Linked DNA regions of Tamandua tetradactyla. The main gene of each other region encodes a partner of the protein of the gene in region 2 in a complex. Links are inferred from orthologs where the notes say so. Each region holds a gene or a part of one and is shown on either strand. Other genes may lie near its edges.

Region 1 (8,174 bases), on a different chromosome or scaffold from region 2:
GACAGGGGAAGGAGAGATTGGGCACTCTGCCAATTCTAACAATATTCTGTAAATATTTCTGCACCATTCAGTGGTGGAGCTAAAAGGGATATTAGAGATCATGTACCCTAGCGTCTTCAATTTACCTACGAAGAATATGGAACTAAGGTTGTTACATAGTAAGATAGTGGCAGAGGTAGGACTTCAACCCAGCCTTCTCAAGTCCCAGAAGAAAGGTTCTTGGACTATACCATGCTTCTCCCCTCCCAAGAATTCAGGCAGAGCCCTAAACACTTAAATGAGGAAATATTGGGGCTTGGAGAGGGCATTCAAGTCTCTGAAAAAATCTCACCCAACCCATCTGCACAACTTCCTCTCCAGTTGCTTTCCCTGTACACTCACCTTTCCAGCCAGACTAAGGTCTCCTAAACCTTATGTCCCTAGTCTTGGCTTCCCCTGGGAAAATCTCAACCTTAAATCCTCAAGGTAGGTGAGATCATTGGCAACCTATTATGTTTGCTCCATCTCCAGGTTTTATCTACTCTACTGGGATGGAGGACGATGAGTCTGCCCTTGGAATTGGAATTATTTTTCTTCCTTGTCCTTCCTAGCCTGTCTCATCAGGCATTTTGTTCAACAGGAAGCTTGGCTGTACCTCCAGTCACATGCAAAATCCAGATAATGCTGGCAGCCAGAGTCAGACCTGGAGGTTTGACAAAGTAATACTAAGGCGAAGAGGTGTTTCCCATCAACATGTCTGCCACTACACAGGCAGAATGGATTTCATGCCAGTCATGGGAGCATAACCCCACATGCCCGGTTTCAACAACACTGGTTATTGATTTTAGCATGGAGTAAGTCGCTAACATCACATAAAGCAATATATCAACTGGAAAGCATTTATATTTGATCTGATAATCAAACCAGAGAAACCAAAGCAGAGATGTCCAGACCTGCACCCCCCCCCACGCACAGTCACATTATCCTACCCTCCCCATAGCATTCCACACTAACATGCCAGACATGTTTGCATATATCAGACACTGAGAGACACACTGGCACAGTAAATCATTTGCTCTGTCACATGTTCAGACACCACCATCACATAGACTGATTAACTCCCTCTTACACACATTCAGGCACCCCACTCCAAGCCCATCTCTGACGCCACCCTCGTTTACTGTTGCAAGTGCAGGACACCCTTATTTGGAGGGAGAAGGTCACCTCGGACAAGCAAAAGTCTATTCATCTTCGAAGACAAATAACCCAGTTCCACAAACATCAAATCACCTTAGCTCCATATGTCCATGAAAAAAAAGGTCAAGATAGAATTCATAGTTCCCTGTTTATCAAATACATAATAGTAATAAGCAAATAGCTGAAACCTACTTTCCTCCCATTCACTATTAAAATTAAGCAGATAGATCAACACCTAAAGTATTTTCACTCTCAGAATGCATGCATCTAGCAAATATATATATATATGGAAACTATTTTGAAGACTCAGCAAGGTTTTCAGGAGTATTGACACATTAAGAGTGAGCTGTGTGACTGCAGCAGAGATTTTTGACAATGAATGTGACTGCATTCCTTTTCAGCAAAGGGAAAGGGAAAAAATCCTCTGGAATAGTCAGGAAACTGAAGGAGAGGAGGAAGAACCACTAAAGGAGGTTGTGAAATAAAACGGTGAGTGTGTGTGTGTGGGGGAGGGGGTATCTTTCCAATTTCAAAATCCCAGCTCTCAAGGAATCTCTATGGTCTCCATGTCTGGCAGAGATGCACAGAGAGAAAGCCAACCACAGCTCCTTTTTATCATCAATGACATCAATAAGCCTTATTATTTTGAACATTATTACTGTTATCTGCATCTGGCACGGCAGGGTGCTGGTACTTACCCCAGTAGATAAGCACCAGGGAAGCCAGAAGAAACAATCTGTTGAAGGCAGGCATCTTTTTTGGCTGGTGGCTTCCGGGGCTAAACAGAGAGATTCCCTCGGTCAAGACTGCGCCCTTTCAGATACTTTCGAGGAAACCCTTTGGGAAGAACTGCCCCAAGGGGGCGACTCTCTGATTGAAAGAAGGGTCAAACACCCGTGACTGGGGAGTCTCTGAAGGCTTTTTGAGTCAGGCGGGGGGTAGTTTCAGCTAGAAGCAACCTTAGCAGACCGCCCCAATTCGAGGGATCGGATCAGCAGCTCCTCGCGCTCCCCCACCTTCTATGCCTCTCTTTCCCGCAAGCCAGTTGCTGGGATCCGGCTCAGCACCACGGACAGTATCTACCCCGCCAGCCCCCGACCGTCACATTCCAGTTAACTCCTTTGCTTCTCTTCTGTCTGCGCCTCGCGGGAAGCTCAGCTCTGAAATGAGTAGCCTCTTAGGCTCTGGGGGCTGGGCGGTCGAAGGGGTCCATGTTTATCCACCTCGTCTACCCTAGGCACCACCACGCTGCGCCCGGGATCCACCAAGACCCCGGGAGCTCCGGTTCTCTCCGCTCCGACCGGCTTCTCCAGTTGGGCGTGTCCCCCACACCCGAAGCCACCCGGGCCGCGCGTCCGAGCTGGAGAATTCCTTCCACGTCGGTCACGTCCACGCCAGTCCTCTGCTTCCCGGGGAGATCCTGAAGGGTGGAGAAAGAGGCGGAAGCTCCCGTCCGGCCTACGATCTTAGGGGTGGTGATGGGTGGGAAAGGCAAGCCCTTTCCCCCGAGCGCGCCCTCGGATCATGCGGGGCCCAACTCTCGGTGGCGGGTATCCAGCTGCCCCTCCAGCCCCCAGGTCCTGTGCACTCGGTCAGCCTTGACCTGCGCAGGGGGCTGTGAGCCCGCACGGCCACCCTGGGCCCACCCCCTCGTGCACACTCTCCCCACCCGCCAGCGGGCGTGCCCCTCCCAGGGCCGAGCGCAGCGCCGAGCCGGGGCGGAGCCCAGGGCGGCGCAAACGCCTGGCGTCCTAGCCGTTTCCCCGCTAGCTCCCTCGCTCTCTCCAGGTCTTTCTCTCACGTCTCCACGCTTCTCCCCAGCGCTCGCGCACCTCCTTGCACAAATTCACACCCTCCAACAACCCCACACGGCTGCTGCACACTCTTCTGATCCTCGGCTCCGGGAAGGGGAGGGCCAAATCGCTTTCAGGCAATGATGTCATCTGCGATGTACATAGTGCAGGGCCCCACGCTTCTCTCCCCCACCAGGTCTCCCTCCTGTCCTCCTGGTCTGTCTTTTGTCTAGCCTTGAATAATTGGTTCCGGGCACACCGTACGCAGCAAGATGATCCCTATTTAGGGGAAATGAGGATAGGAGTGGGGCGCACCTGTTCCTATGCTCACTTCATCACTCAGTGAGGGGATCCAAATGCCTGTCTAAGAACGGCGTGGGGGTGGGGGCAAAAAAGGGATCCTCGTCCCTTCCTCTGATTCTTTGCAGTCTCCCCTCTTGCTCTAATTTTTTTTTTTTTAATTTAAATGCAGGTGGATTGTGGTTTGGCTTCTTCCAACTATCAGCCACTCCTCAATCCAAGCAGCTGTTTCGATGACACCCCCGCCCCCGCTCCGCCTCGCTCCATCTCTGGCAGGGAAGCTTGAACCTTTAAATTCACTTATAAACTGAAATTGACGAAACAGTTGAGGAATGCCTGGAACTGAAGTGATTAATACAAAAGTCTCTCCTCCCCTCTTCTTGTTCCCGGCTCCCTTTCCAAAAGCGGTAGCTTAACGTCGATATTCCAAAGGGAACCGCAGAGTAACAGCTGGCTGTAAGTGAACCAGGGGCAGGAAATTCTCCCTTCTAATGTAACACAGGGCAACAGACTGTCCCCAAGCTTGGATCTTCTTCCCCTGGCAATTAGCTACCAGGACATAACTTCTGTGTGCTTCTGAAGACCAACCCTTTGAAGCATGCTGTATTAGCCTTGGGTGGGAAATTAAAATTGACAAACACCTTTCCAGTTACTGGATCCACCAACAAAATTCCTGAGGAGTGGGTTTGACTCTAGTCCAGTGATGAGAGATTATCACTTCCCAAGTTCCAAATTTAAGGAAGCTATTTTTATTCAACTGAATTCTGTACACCCTTCCTCCCAAAACTCCATTAAGTGGTCCTCACACTGTTTTGTGACGTAAAATACAACTCTTAGCTCCTAAAAAGTCTGTGCTTCTTCACTCCCCATGCCAAGATTTTTGTTTAGACATAAGCTTCATAAGTTTCTTCCAGTATTTCTTAGTGGTTACTAACCCTTAGCCATCTTAGTCTCTTTCTTAGGAGGATTTTTAATTTGTCAGCATGGCTTCTCAAAGTGACATCCGGAATAGGAACTGATGTTCTCTCTGTCATGCTGGCAGCATAAATCCAGTGAAATAATGGCCACACTTACTTTAGAGGGTATGTTTATTTACACGCAGTTACAGCCTCATCCCACTCATAATGAGCTTATGGTCAATTAAAATCTAAGCACTTTTCATTTGAGCTGTTGCAGATTCATTTTGTACTCAATATAGCAAGTTTCAGAAATCTGTAAAATTTTGTGCTTATTGCTGCTAAAATTTACTCATTTCAAACAATTATCACATCCTGTTAATAATACTTTTATTGAATCCCAGATTCAACACCCAACATCACTCTCTTCTTTAGGCTTGCTTCAACTCTAGGCTTGACAAACACTTGACCCAAACATAGATTTTTTTTAAATGAACAGGAAAAAACAAAAGAGAGAGTTCTTTGGCGTGCTTCTACATACCTCACTCTAGCTCCTGGACAATGAGCTACTAATTAGACTTCTTTAGTGTGATTGCACAATCATAAATAAATACCCAAACACTCTCCCTATTTTCCACATGTATAGCATGGCATATTCTGAAAAACAAAAGCCATTATGTGAGAAGAATTAGACCTACAATGATCCCAAGAAAAGAAGTAGGAACAGTGGCTGACATTTATATGGAAACAGATTTACAGTAATACATTTCAAACCATTCCAAGGTAGAATGAATTATCTTTCATTAAGTTCAAGCAGCTGTTATCCAACCAATTAATGGGATTTGTAGGAAAGAAAATTTCTATGGCTTAGAATTTGCAGAAAATTATTGCTAAAATTCCAGTCATCTTTGAGATTTTATGATTTTGTCAAAAGTCTTGCCGAACTTGAGATACATAGAGTGGTCGAGATATTTTTAGGCCAATGATTCTAACAACCCCCACCATCATCACAAATACCATAGAAGGAACTTGGCTTAGTTCTGCATAGTTTTTCTTATGTCTATCTATACTGATTGCTAACAACCATATTTCCCTTTTCTAAATGTTTACCAGTCCCATTTTAAATACTCAATTTGAGGATTTTACATGAGGTTTTAGGAAAAATGTACTTGCCTCTAGTGTCCCTAAGTTCCTCCCCACTCTTGTCCACTACTGAAAATGGGAACATTTGCTCTCAGTCTGCTGATGCTTCCCTTGAGTTTTTGCAGTGGTTCCCAGTCATTTTTGCAACTTCCTTAAGTTCCCTGAAGTACATTTAGCTTTCTTCTGAGAGTCTTTCTGAGACGTTTAAATTGTTATCCCTTCCTCTTTTCTTCCATCAATTTCTTTTGCTAATGTCTACTTGACCCTTTCCAATTTAATGATCACCTCCCCTTACTGCTGATGGATGAAATTATCTATTCCATTCTCCAAATAGTTGCTGTTAGGAAGAAAGCCATACCTGAAAGAGAATACGCTCACCTAATTGTGGAGAAGAAAAGAATTTATTCATGATCTTGCAAGAACATGTGCCCAGCTGAAAAATGGTGGTTGGCATGCCAAACGATAGAACACTACAGATCATACACTTAAACCTCGCACGCAGGCCCCTCCCCTGTTTCTCTGCTGATTGGATATGCCGCAAGTTACAGCCTATCCGGATAGTCTAATTAAAATTTCCCACTGTAGGTTCCCACTTTTGATTATGCTTTACATTTCAATGGCCCTGGCCATTACTTACTTAAACTTGTTTCTACCTATTTGGCACCAATTCTAGGCTTACGTCAGAGGCTCTCTCTTTCCCTGCTTGCAAGACCCATTTAAGCTATCCTGCAGCCCTTTCCTGCACCATCTTGTGTGAAAGCTAAATTTAATTTTATTCTTACAGCAGGCAGAGCAATCTGTTGGTCTATTCTATAAGACCATGTATCACTCTTGCTTAAAGCTCTTCAATGGCATCCCACTACACTTAAAATAAAATCCATACTTCTCATGATGGCCAACCAAGGTCTCCTGTGATCCCTGACTATCACTACATGCTCATGTCCACTACTCCTTGCCTTGTCCACAATGTTCCAGTTGTACATTTTTTTTTAATGCCTCTCAAAATTATTAAGCTTTTCCCCATTATAGAGACTTGGCACTAGATGGCCCTTCTGGTTGGAATGCTCTTCATCCCATGTCTGGCTTCTAATCATTCAGGTCTTGCTACTTCTCCTTAGAGGGGCATTCCCTGGCACCATTTTTAAACTGATTTCCTGCCACCTCTACCTGAAGTTACTTTCTATCTCACCACCCTGTTTCTTTTTCATCATATCTTTTATCACTATTCAAAATTAACTAATTTTTCATTTATGTACTTGCTTATTTTCTGTCCCAGAATGCAGAGACTATGAAAGCAGGAACCTTGCTTGACCTGTTCAGCACTGTATCTATCCCTGTGTCTAGATTAGTGCCAGGTATTAGGCCCTCTATGAATCCAGAATGAACAAATAAGTAAATGAATGAAGGAGTGAGAATACAGTGGGAAGAGCAAATAGCTGATGCTGGAATCACTAGCAGGAACAGAAAAAGAAAAGTCAAAAAATAAAACAAGATCCAGAATATTGCAATGCTACAATAAGCAAGGGAAGAGAAAGTCTCAAGACTTGTGGGACGTGCCTCCTTAGAGGGGATTCCAGCTAACCGTGCTCAGAATTGAGGATGAGGGAATATGGGACCTGAGACTTTGAGGTGGAGGGGAAGGAATGACTCTAGTGAGGAAGGAAGAAGAAATGGCATCTGAGAAATGAAGGGAGAGATTAAGTTTTCTTGAGGGAAAGAGACTCATTTCACTAAGACCATGGGGAAATAAGACTGTGTCACTGGCAGTGATATTGTGAATAACGATAGAGTATCGGAACTTTGAGACATACCTATCGGTTTTAATAAAGCAGGTGGCCTAAAATTATCCACAGAGTAGTGCTTGGTGAGAAACAGGGAAATTAGTGACAAAGCACAAGGCCTGGAATCATCATGGGCTATTCTGATGCCTAGAAGAACGCCAAGAAAATGTGAAGTAAAGCATTTCAAGATCATCGTATACCTCAAGTCAAGGTACAGAAATCAGAGCCAAACCCAGCCAACTCAAGTAACCTGCTTTTGCTCCTCTAAGTGGGTTTTGAAAAACAGTGCACAAGCCATGGGATGAGGAGAGAGGGGAAACATGTTTATTTAAAATTGTGGCCAAAGAGCATAAAGATCGAAAGGTATCAGGCTTCCCCCAATTATTTCCTTATACTGCCTATCAGCTGGGTGGCTGCTGTCACCGGCCAAGGGAAGTTTGGGATTAGAACAGGAAGCACTAACACAATGATCAGACTGTAGAGTCCCTTCCTGGACCTGCTCATTGCAGAGAAACTGGCAGGTAAAACGGGGCCAGAAATGTTTGTTGCATTGAACTGAGTTCCATCTGAATGATTAGGGAAGCTAAGGCTTCCCTGACACTGAGTGCCCCACCTCCACCCAAACCGCACCCAGTCTACAAAGAAGCTCATGTCACACTGCCTCTGACCAACCCCCAGGGAGCCCATAGATTTTCCCTCAAAGAGGAGGCTGTCAATAGGTAACTATGAGAATCCCAACATTTGAATGGGAGTAAAGAAAATATAACTGATATGGTGCTTCAAGCTCCTGAGAAGAAAAGTTGTATTTCCAGAATTTCTATTAGCATGTATGGTATAACAAAAATGTTGGCTGGTCTTTATCCCCAGTTCCTGGGGAGGGAACCTCTGAACCTTTGGAATTTCCCCTAATGAGTTCTTTCTGTTCTTCAGGGTGGGCTCACAACCACACCTGATAATTCATATGCTAATGAGAGTACAAGTAGCAGCCCTGTCTGCAGTTTTAGGGTGGGGAGGGGATGTGGGGCTTTGAGCCCCTTCATATGTCGGATCAGCCCCATTTCCTGACCTCTGGGAGGGAGGGAGAC
Region 2 (7,689 bases):
TTTTCATCAAGCTCTTGTTTGATGCTGAAGGTGGGTCAGTCTGGCAGCTAACTCTCACCACAATCAGAGCTGTCCACACAGCAGCTTATTTCTGGCCAGTACCAGATCAAGTTAGTCATATTAGAAATACTAAATATAAAACAGAGATAGGTGTTCTCCCATGAGATGGAGTACAGCCAGATTGAGCCTGGTTTTCATTGACTGAACAAACATATGGAATTCATGAGCCTAGATGGGACACAGACAAGCTGAAAAACCTCCCTAGAAACCCTCATATGAAAACATTCCCTCAAAGATTTCTTCCTTCAGCATTGCAGAGGTGAGGCCTGGCTTACTTGGCATTGGTTAGCTCATATTGATTAAAAAATGACCAATTCAGGAAAAAAGGAGATCAGTTTGTAAAGTAAATCTGACAACAGTGGGTGACTCTGGACCTTGCTGATAACTAGTCGGGGTGAGGATAGGTAGGCTACAGATGTCCTTTTCAGAAACTGACCAATACGGATATGTTTGTGGAAATGATGGCACCAAACTCCCAGGAATCAAGAATGTCCTTCTATGCTAAAACCTCTACCATAAGTCTTAAGTGTGTGTGCCTGTCTCTGAGGATCCCAGTTGTCTGAACTAATTTCTGCAAGACAGATCCTCTGCCAATATGATGTGGGACAGGCAGAGCATTAGGATACTGCTGCATCCTTTCCCAGTGTGCCTTAGACCTCTATTCGTCCTACCTGGGCAAAGATCAGCGAGAGTTTATTTCAATTTCCCTCCCTAAGCCTGTACCATATGAGGCTGTGGAAACCGAATGATGAGTTCCTAAGTACTTGGTTCTACCTCCAGATCTCCCAAGGAGACTGATATCCAGTAGCAGGTCCGAGAGCCTGATTCTACCATCTGGACTCTTGACCTCTTTTCCTAAGCCGAGGTCCAACTTCATGTTTTTCTACTATTGCTCTAAAACATACATATGGGCAAGAAAGGGCACTGTACCTTTCCCTAAGTGCCGGTTTTAATGATTCCCAGCATTCAAGAGTAGATTATGTGTTACTACCTTATAATTTCTCCCATTTTAATTAATGGGGCAAATAAATTCATCGATATCCAATATTCACAATGGTTTAATTATGAGAGAGTTGGATCACACACGAAACAAAAACTAATGCTGAAAAGGAAAGAGAGTAAGACATATTCTGAGAATATTTCAAATTTTAAAAAACACGAGTGTTAATCAAAACGCAAAGTTTTGCAAGTGTAGGGGCTTGCAAGTTAAAATTTGCTTTAGATTTTAAGTGGCAAATGATCATCAGCTGGATTTGAATTTCACTTTATCTACTACATTCCAGTTAGGCCTAAGTCGTCTTTTTATTCTTGCATTGAACTCGATTTAGAATGAGAGATAGAAGAGTGCAGTGGGGAAAAACAAAATAATTCCTTATATAAGTAAGGGCTACATGTGATATTAGCTTTAGAAAACTCTTCATGTAATATCTACAATCAGTTCTTAACTGGACTTTTTGATGTGTCATTTACAAATAAATAACAAAAAATGTGTAATCACGTTCAATAACTCATTTTATTTCACAAGGATAGAAATCATGTTTTATAATTGTAAACCCCAAGGTTTTTCTCATTGAGCCTCCAGCTTAATCAAACTAGCCAGGTAACCTCATCAAATTACTTCTTCTAGGCCTTATCTTTCTCCTTTTAAAAGCAGCAGCTGGATTACAAAATGTTTAAATAGGTCTAATAATAACAGGATGGGGTTCCATAATCTGTTTATTCAGGGCCCCAGCTTCCTTTTAGTTTGTCTTAAATTACGTCTGGAGCAATTATTGGCGGCGGTGGGGCGCTGGGCAGGAGTGTGGACAGCCATATATACAAGCATCACCCCAAAACCTTCCTATTTCAAGAGATGTTTTTGGCTGAAATCCAAAGGTGACTCCATCATCTTCATTAATTTAGGGGGTCCATTATTTTATTAGCGCATATGTATTCATCATTTGTCCTGCTTTGGCCAATATCTGAACTACTGAAGATAACCGATAACCAGAGTTACAAAGAAAACATCATTATTTCTAAAACAAAACCTCCAGAAGGTAGGTGTTTTACAAAGCTATACAATACAGAAGCCTGTTGGTGCCAACAGAACAAAATGCCAAGATGTTTAAATTGGGATCACCATTCCCCATCAGGTCTGTGCTGCTTCTTTCTACTGACAATTCTTACATGAAAAGCACCAATGTCGAAATCACTAAATTACTTAGAGATTACTTAGGGGTCCTCGGAAATAGTACAACTTATCCTTGCATAAGCTTTTTTTCTTTCCCTACTATCATCATGTAATATCAAAGTCATCACCACTTCGGATTTCTAGACATTTTACACGCACAGCGTCTCGTTTCAGAAGCTTCCACGGTGCTGTGAAAACCCAACCACGTGCACAGCGCAGGGCAAATACCACAGACCACACCTGCACTTTAAGTAGGAAAAGGTGCTTCTTTTGCTCTCCTTAATTCACGTCCAGAATTTTAATCTCCTCCTCCTGTCGGTGGCCGTAAGGGTGGTGTATGGCGGTGGAGCAGGTGGGAAGGGGGTGGAAAAGGCTGGCAGCTGTGGTGACAAACACCATCCTGGGGCTGGACCCGACAGCGAGAAAAACGCACTTACTTGCTACCATGTGACAGGTCTCCACCGGCACCTGCAGGACCCGATCCCGAGGGACAGGGCCCTTTGGAGCCCTTTCCCCCTCCCGAGCTTCCCCTTCTTCACGGATTTCTCTGGTCTTCTGAGCTCCGGTTGCTTAGGAAATGTTGCTAGGCTGGCGTCTGACCTCCCCGGCTGATGCCACCTAGGCCGCGATGGCTCCGCGGTCAACAACCCCACTGAATCCTCAGCTAGACGCGGAGGAGCTGCGGCGGCTACCCAGCCACTGACCCAGAGACCCCTCCTTCCAAGATGTCCAGTGGAGCCCCGCCCGCAGCTTGGAAGCTGTTTTCGTCTTCCTGCCACACTTCCCTCTCGTCTGGCAGCCGAGTCACTCTTCCCCGCCTTCATCTTGAGGCCGGCGCGCGGCTCCGGCACCAGACCCGGCGGGGGCGGGGGCGGTTCTGACACAGCCCAGCCGCAGCCGCTGCAGCACCCAGGGCTGCTGCACCCAGGGCTGCTGCAGCCGCCGCAGAGCCTCTCCCTCCGGCCGCCCGGGAGGGGCGGGGGCTGCTAGAGGAGGGGGATCAGCGAGGGGGGCAGAGAGGGGAGAGGACCTAGAAGGGATGAAGGAAGGCAGGGGAGAGAAGAAAAGCAGGTAGGGAGGAAGAGCGAGTTTACCGGGAAGGGAGAGGGAAAAGAAGAGGGAGCTTTAAAGAGGAAGGAGGCAAACTCCGGTTCTTTACCTCTTTTCCTTTCTTCAGCGGTTTTCTCTCTCCCTGGCCTGGCTGTCCTAGGAGAGCCTCCCAGGTGCGGTTGTTAGTCAGCTGCATCTAAATCCGCACGCCGTTGTAGGCAGAACTGTGCAGTTTTGTCTGCTGTTGTGTGTGTCTGTAGGTTTGTAGGTGTCAAGGTAAGATGTGGCAGGAATGACTATACTCTGCAGACTGCAGATTCTTTCCCAGCTCTGGTGATTTGAAACACTGGGGAAAAAATATGCATATTTTCAAAAACTATTGCTGCACTGTATTTGGGGATGGGAACTGCTGCTGGACCTTGTTTCTCAAAGGGAGTATCGAAAATTTTGCTGCCCCAAAGAACATTCATTTTATAACCCTACCTTGTTCTGAAATGATGACATTTTCTTTGAAAATTCATACCTCCTACCAAGAAAAGATAAGGAAAACGAGGATAAGAGAAAAGAAATCATGTATTTTGTATGACGTACACCTTAGATTTTCCAAAGTATGGAACAGAAAATGTAGGCAGATTCAAGAGAAAAAACATGTCAGGAAAAATGCATTTCATCCGTGATTCACAGTAATGGCTATTACCATGTTTTCTTGTTTAAAATATGTTTGCTAAGAAACATTTCAACTATATACAAAAATACAAAGTATCACAAACTTTTATGTACCCACCCTCAACTCCTAACAACACTTGGCCAATCTTGTCTCATCTATATCTAGACCGCTTACCTTGGATTAATTTAAACATAGTCCAGACATCACACCATTTCATCTAAAAATACATCATCAGCCTGTGCCCTGAAAGATAAAGACTTTTAAAAAATATAAAGCCAATTTCACCATCATACCTAAAAATTAATACTAATTATTTTATAGCATCATATATCCATTTTACTTATTTTTAATAGACAATTTATGGATTATTGACTTCTCATTTTCACATTTTTTGTGACAAACCAAGTAAATTTTCTAGTTTATAGACCTTTCCTTGGAGCAGTCCTGCTTTTGTTTCCCTTCTCACCCAGTAAATTGTAGGCATCCATACTCAAACATTATATAAACATGAGAAACTTAGTAATATCAAATATTTTAAAGCTTTAATAAGATATGTGAAATAAATGAAAAGAAGTACTGTTTTGCATAATGTGTGATGAGCATGCAACTGATCCTAAACAATGTACAAATTAGTAATACCAGCAATGGGAAACTGAAAGGAAACCAATGATACAAGATTTGTTCCGAGTAGACAACCATATTATGTTGCCTGAGTAGACAACCATATTTCTGCAACAAATTTTTGCCTCCAGTGTTAGATAAAGTCACTGTGCAGGATCTGTCAAATTTTGGTAATTATTATGCTCTTATACCAGGCTGAGTTGCTCCCCACTGAGTTGCTCAGTAGGGGAAATCGATGTGGTGGAAAGACCACGGCCCTGTCTGTTTTCCACATGCCTGTCTCAAGAACCTTGTAATCACGGGTTCTAAGTTGTATTTCCTAACTGTGTATCCAGAAGTGACTCAAATCAAGCACAAGGCCAACATGCCCCTCTTCAACTTTACTGAAAGAAATCTGCTCTATCACACTTCACTTGAGCCATAGACCATAGGGAACATCACTTTCCCTGCAGCCTTCTTAAATGGAGGCTGATTATTCTAACCTCATCGTGTCCAGAGTAGGAATGGGCATGGCCTGCTCATTCCTCCTCCACAACACAACTTCCACATTTCACAAAAACTGGTGTATGAAAAAAAATTTTTTGAAATTAAAAAACTCTGCTCAAAATGCAAAGGAATCTAACTCTTCTTTAAAGCAGATGTCCTCCAGCTATTTCCTACTGTATCAAGTCTTTCTTCTTGTGGTACCTCTGGTAGCAATCATCTTCTTAATAAATAGACAGTCTTACTTATTCATTAAGGATTTATTTCCTACTTGACAGTCTTCCTCTCCATTCATGTACCTAAAATCATGCAACACCTTCATGCATATGGATGCCTACAGCCTTCTTTCTATTACATGCTTTTTGTCTCGACCACACCTCAGCTATCAATTCCCACACTCAAGCAGTGAATCTTATAATTGCTAGTAACTGCTTGATTCTCTCCGTAGTACTTACCTGGATTACTAAAGGTTTATTGCTGTTCATTTATTGTCCGTCTTGTCCCCCTAGAGTGCCTGTTGCATGACAGCCAACTCTTTGTCTATTCATTGCTATACCTCAGTGTTTAAGACAGAATTTGTCATACATAAGTTACTCAAATTTTATTATTCAAGGAGTAATCATCCAGATGCCCCCAATCCACTATGGGTCACCAAGAAGAATGTAGCAGTTTGACACAGAAAAAACCATAAATTGAGCACATGCTATATGAAGAACAGGATGGTTGTTTGTTGATCATGCTTTTATTCTACTTAGCCTCTGGTACCTAAGTTCTTAAAATTCTTCTGGTGACAGTGCTGCAAAGCCAGAATCAGTTCTTATGATTGTTTTCATGTGTACTGCATTCTACAATAATTCTTACTATTTGTGTGTTTGGGTTCCTTGGAATTTCTCCAAGAAAACCTTGTTCACAGTTTTCAACCCTGTCCTAAGTTCTAAAATTATAAGAATTTGGACCTCAGCAAATAAAGTTGTAAGGAGTAGTTTAATGATCACAGAGGAACAAAATAAATGGCTTGCTTCTTAAGGATTCTTGGAAATGAAACAACAGACCATAGACAGTATGAGTCAATTGAGCTCATCTAGAAAATAGTGGTTTTAAAAAAAAACCTTTTAGAGCATTAATTATCTACTGATAAATTTCTATGCTGAATACAATTTCTCAGATCCTCTGGCAATATATATATATATATATATATTGCTCTTTATGACTCTTCCCAAAAATCTTCAAAAGACAGGTATAGTCAGCAAAGAATAATAGAAAAAAATCAATTTAAAGATTTTAACTCAGTATAGAAAATATGTCAAAAAAATATTTGTTTTCCAAATATGCCATTTGGAAAACACACACACACATATCGTTTACAACATTATACATATATTTCCTTTAGCTTATCGCCCTGGTGCCAAGAATATAATTATAAAAATCACATACATACACAGATTGTGTTCAAATGTTCCTGACCATACACATTCCCCTTTGCAATTTTATATGTGACATCTGATCTATCAAGTAATTCCCTGCCAGGCTTGATGGAAGTGCAGACTTTTTTTTCGTGTGAAAAAAATAGAAGAGAAAATACAGACAATTACAAAATTGCAATTCTTTTTCATTTCTCTGGAAGTCCTGTTGAAATGTGTGTCTATATAGGATATATCTGAATGCATGCATATCGTCTATGGAAGTTAGCGTTAACCACTCTAACACAAATCTAAAATAATAGTGGCTTAACTCAACAGAAGCTTATTTTGCTCAAACATAATTGTCTACATCTAAGCAGTTTAGGGCTACAAAACCACATCAACTAACCAGGCTTTTCTATCTTGTTGATTTGTGATCTCTCGTGTGTTACCCTCATTTGTATGATTCAAAATGCCCACTGACACATTTGTATTACAAGCAATAGAAAAAGAGCACAGGGGAAATGGAGTTCTTGCTCATTTCATTAAAGGTTACACTTCCCTGAATCCAGATTGAATTGTCCATAACTCCCATAGTCACACTGGTTGCAAGGAAGCCTGAAGAATGTGATACTTCTTTTGGGTGGCTAGGTAGTGAGCTAAAATTTGAAGTTTTTATTGTTGTAGATAAAAGGGAGAAGAAATATTCGGGGGTGAGTAGCACTTTTTGTTGGTAACATCTGAATCTGCAATTGGTATTCTTTTGTGACTGTATACCTCTGCCAAATAGAAATTAGGAAAAATGTGATTTCTCAAGATTTTAGGGCTCACAGAAACATAACCAAACTTAGCAGTAAACATTTCTCTCCACCAACTGGAATGAATAGGAAAGAAAGTCAAGTTGCAGAATAAACAACTAGACAGCTAAACTAATATATTTCGAATTGTTTCCTCAAATTCAATAGGTCTCACCATCATATTATCTCATTCATTTCTACCACTTTGTTTTGGTTTATGATAATAAGATACTCAAAACTTTTCTCACTCTTTTTTCTTTCCCCAATTTTTCCAAACAAAGAGTACAAGAAACAAAAATTTCCAACTCTGTATTCAATGAAACTATGTAACATCTTTAGTACCAAAATGTTCGATATGAAGGGAAATTTAGATGGAAAGATAGTAAGTGATCTAGTGAAGTGAAGCACGGAAAGTCTAGTATAATTACCTGATAAAATTGA

The links.
Region 1: the proteins of SCN7A (region 2) and SCN3B are in contact, whole or in part, in a cryo-EM structure (PDB 7TJ9), measured with the Homo sapiens proteins. The link is inferred for Tamandua tetradactyla from reciprocal best matches to the Homo sapiens genes SCN7A and SCN3B. Residues at the interface, in NP_002967.2 of Homo sapiens: Arg269, Glu293, Tyr296, Leu298, Glu299, Leu305, Gln315, Cys316, Pro317, Glu318, Gly319, Tyr320, Asn922, Ile923, Thr926, Cys927, Lys929, Ile930, Phe939, Ile956, Tyr957, Asp959, Gln960, Ile966, Tyr970, Met973, Ile974, Tyr977, Ile978, Leu981; in NP_001035241.1 of Homo sapiens: Val25, Cys26, Val27, Glu28, Val29, Arg44, Ile46, Lys50, Arg51, Glu52, Glu53, Val54, Asn95, Gly96, Ser97, Asp99, Gln101, Asp102, Phe126, Phe128, Ala130, His131, Pro133, Val135, Thr154, Ser155, Ser158, Glu159, Met162, Leu165.

Annotation. Positions count from the first base shown.
Region 1 is NC_135334.1:17,129,646-17,137,819, reverse strand, and holds the start of SCN3B (sodium channel regulatory subunit beta-3), read right to left. Parts: upstream 3,071-8,174; 5' UTR 3,009-3,070; intron 2,813-3,008; exon of another isoform or gene 2,597-2,812; 5' UTR 1,930-2,596; coding exon 1,875-1,929; intron 1-1,874. UniProt on the Homo sapiens protein: Regulatory subunit of multiple voltage-gated sodium (Nav) channels directly mediating the depolarization of excitable membranes.
Region 2 is NC_135329.1:137,857,833-137,865,521, forward strand, and holds the start of SCN7A (sodium channel protein type 7 subunit alpha), read right to left. Parts: upstream 3,087-7,689; 5' UTR 2,678-3,086; coding exon 2,668-2,677; intron 1-2,667. UniProt on the Homo sapiens protein: Sodium leak channel functioning as an osmosensor regulating sodium ion levels in various tissues and organs. While most sodium channels are voltage-gated, SCN7A is not and lets sodium flow through membrane along its concentration gradient.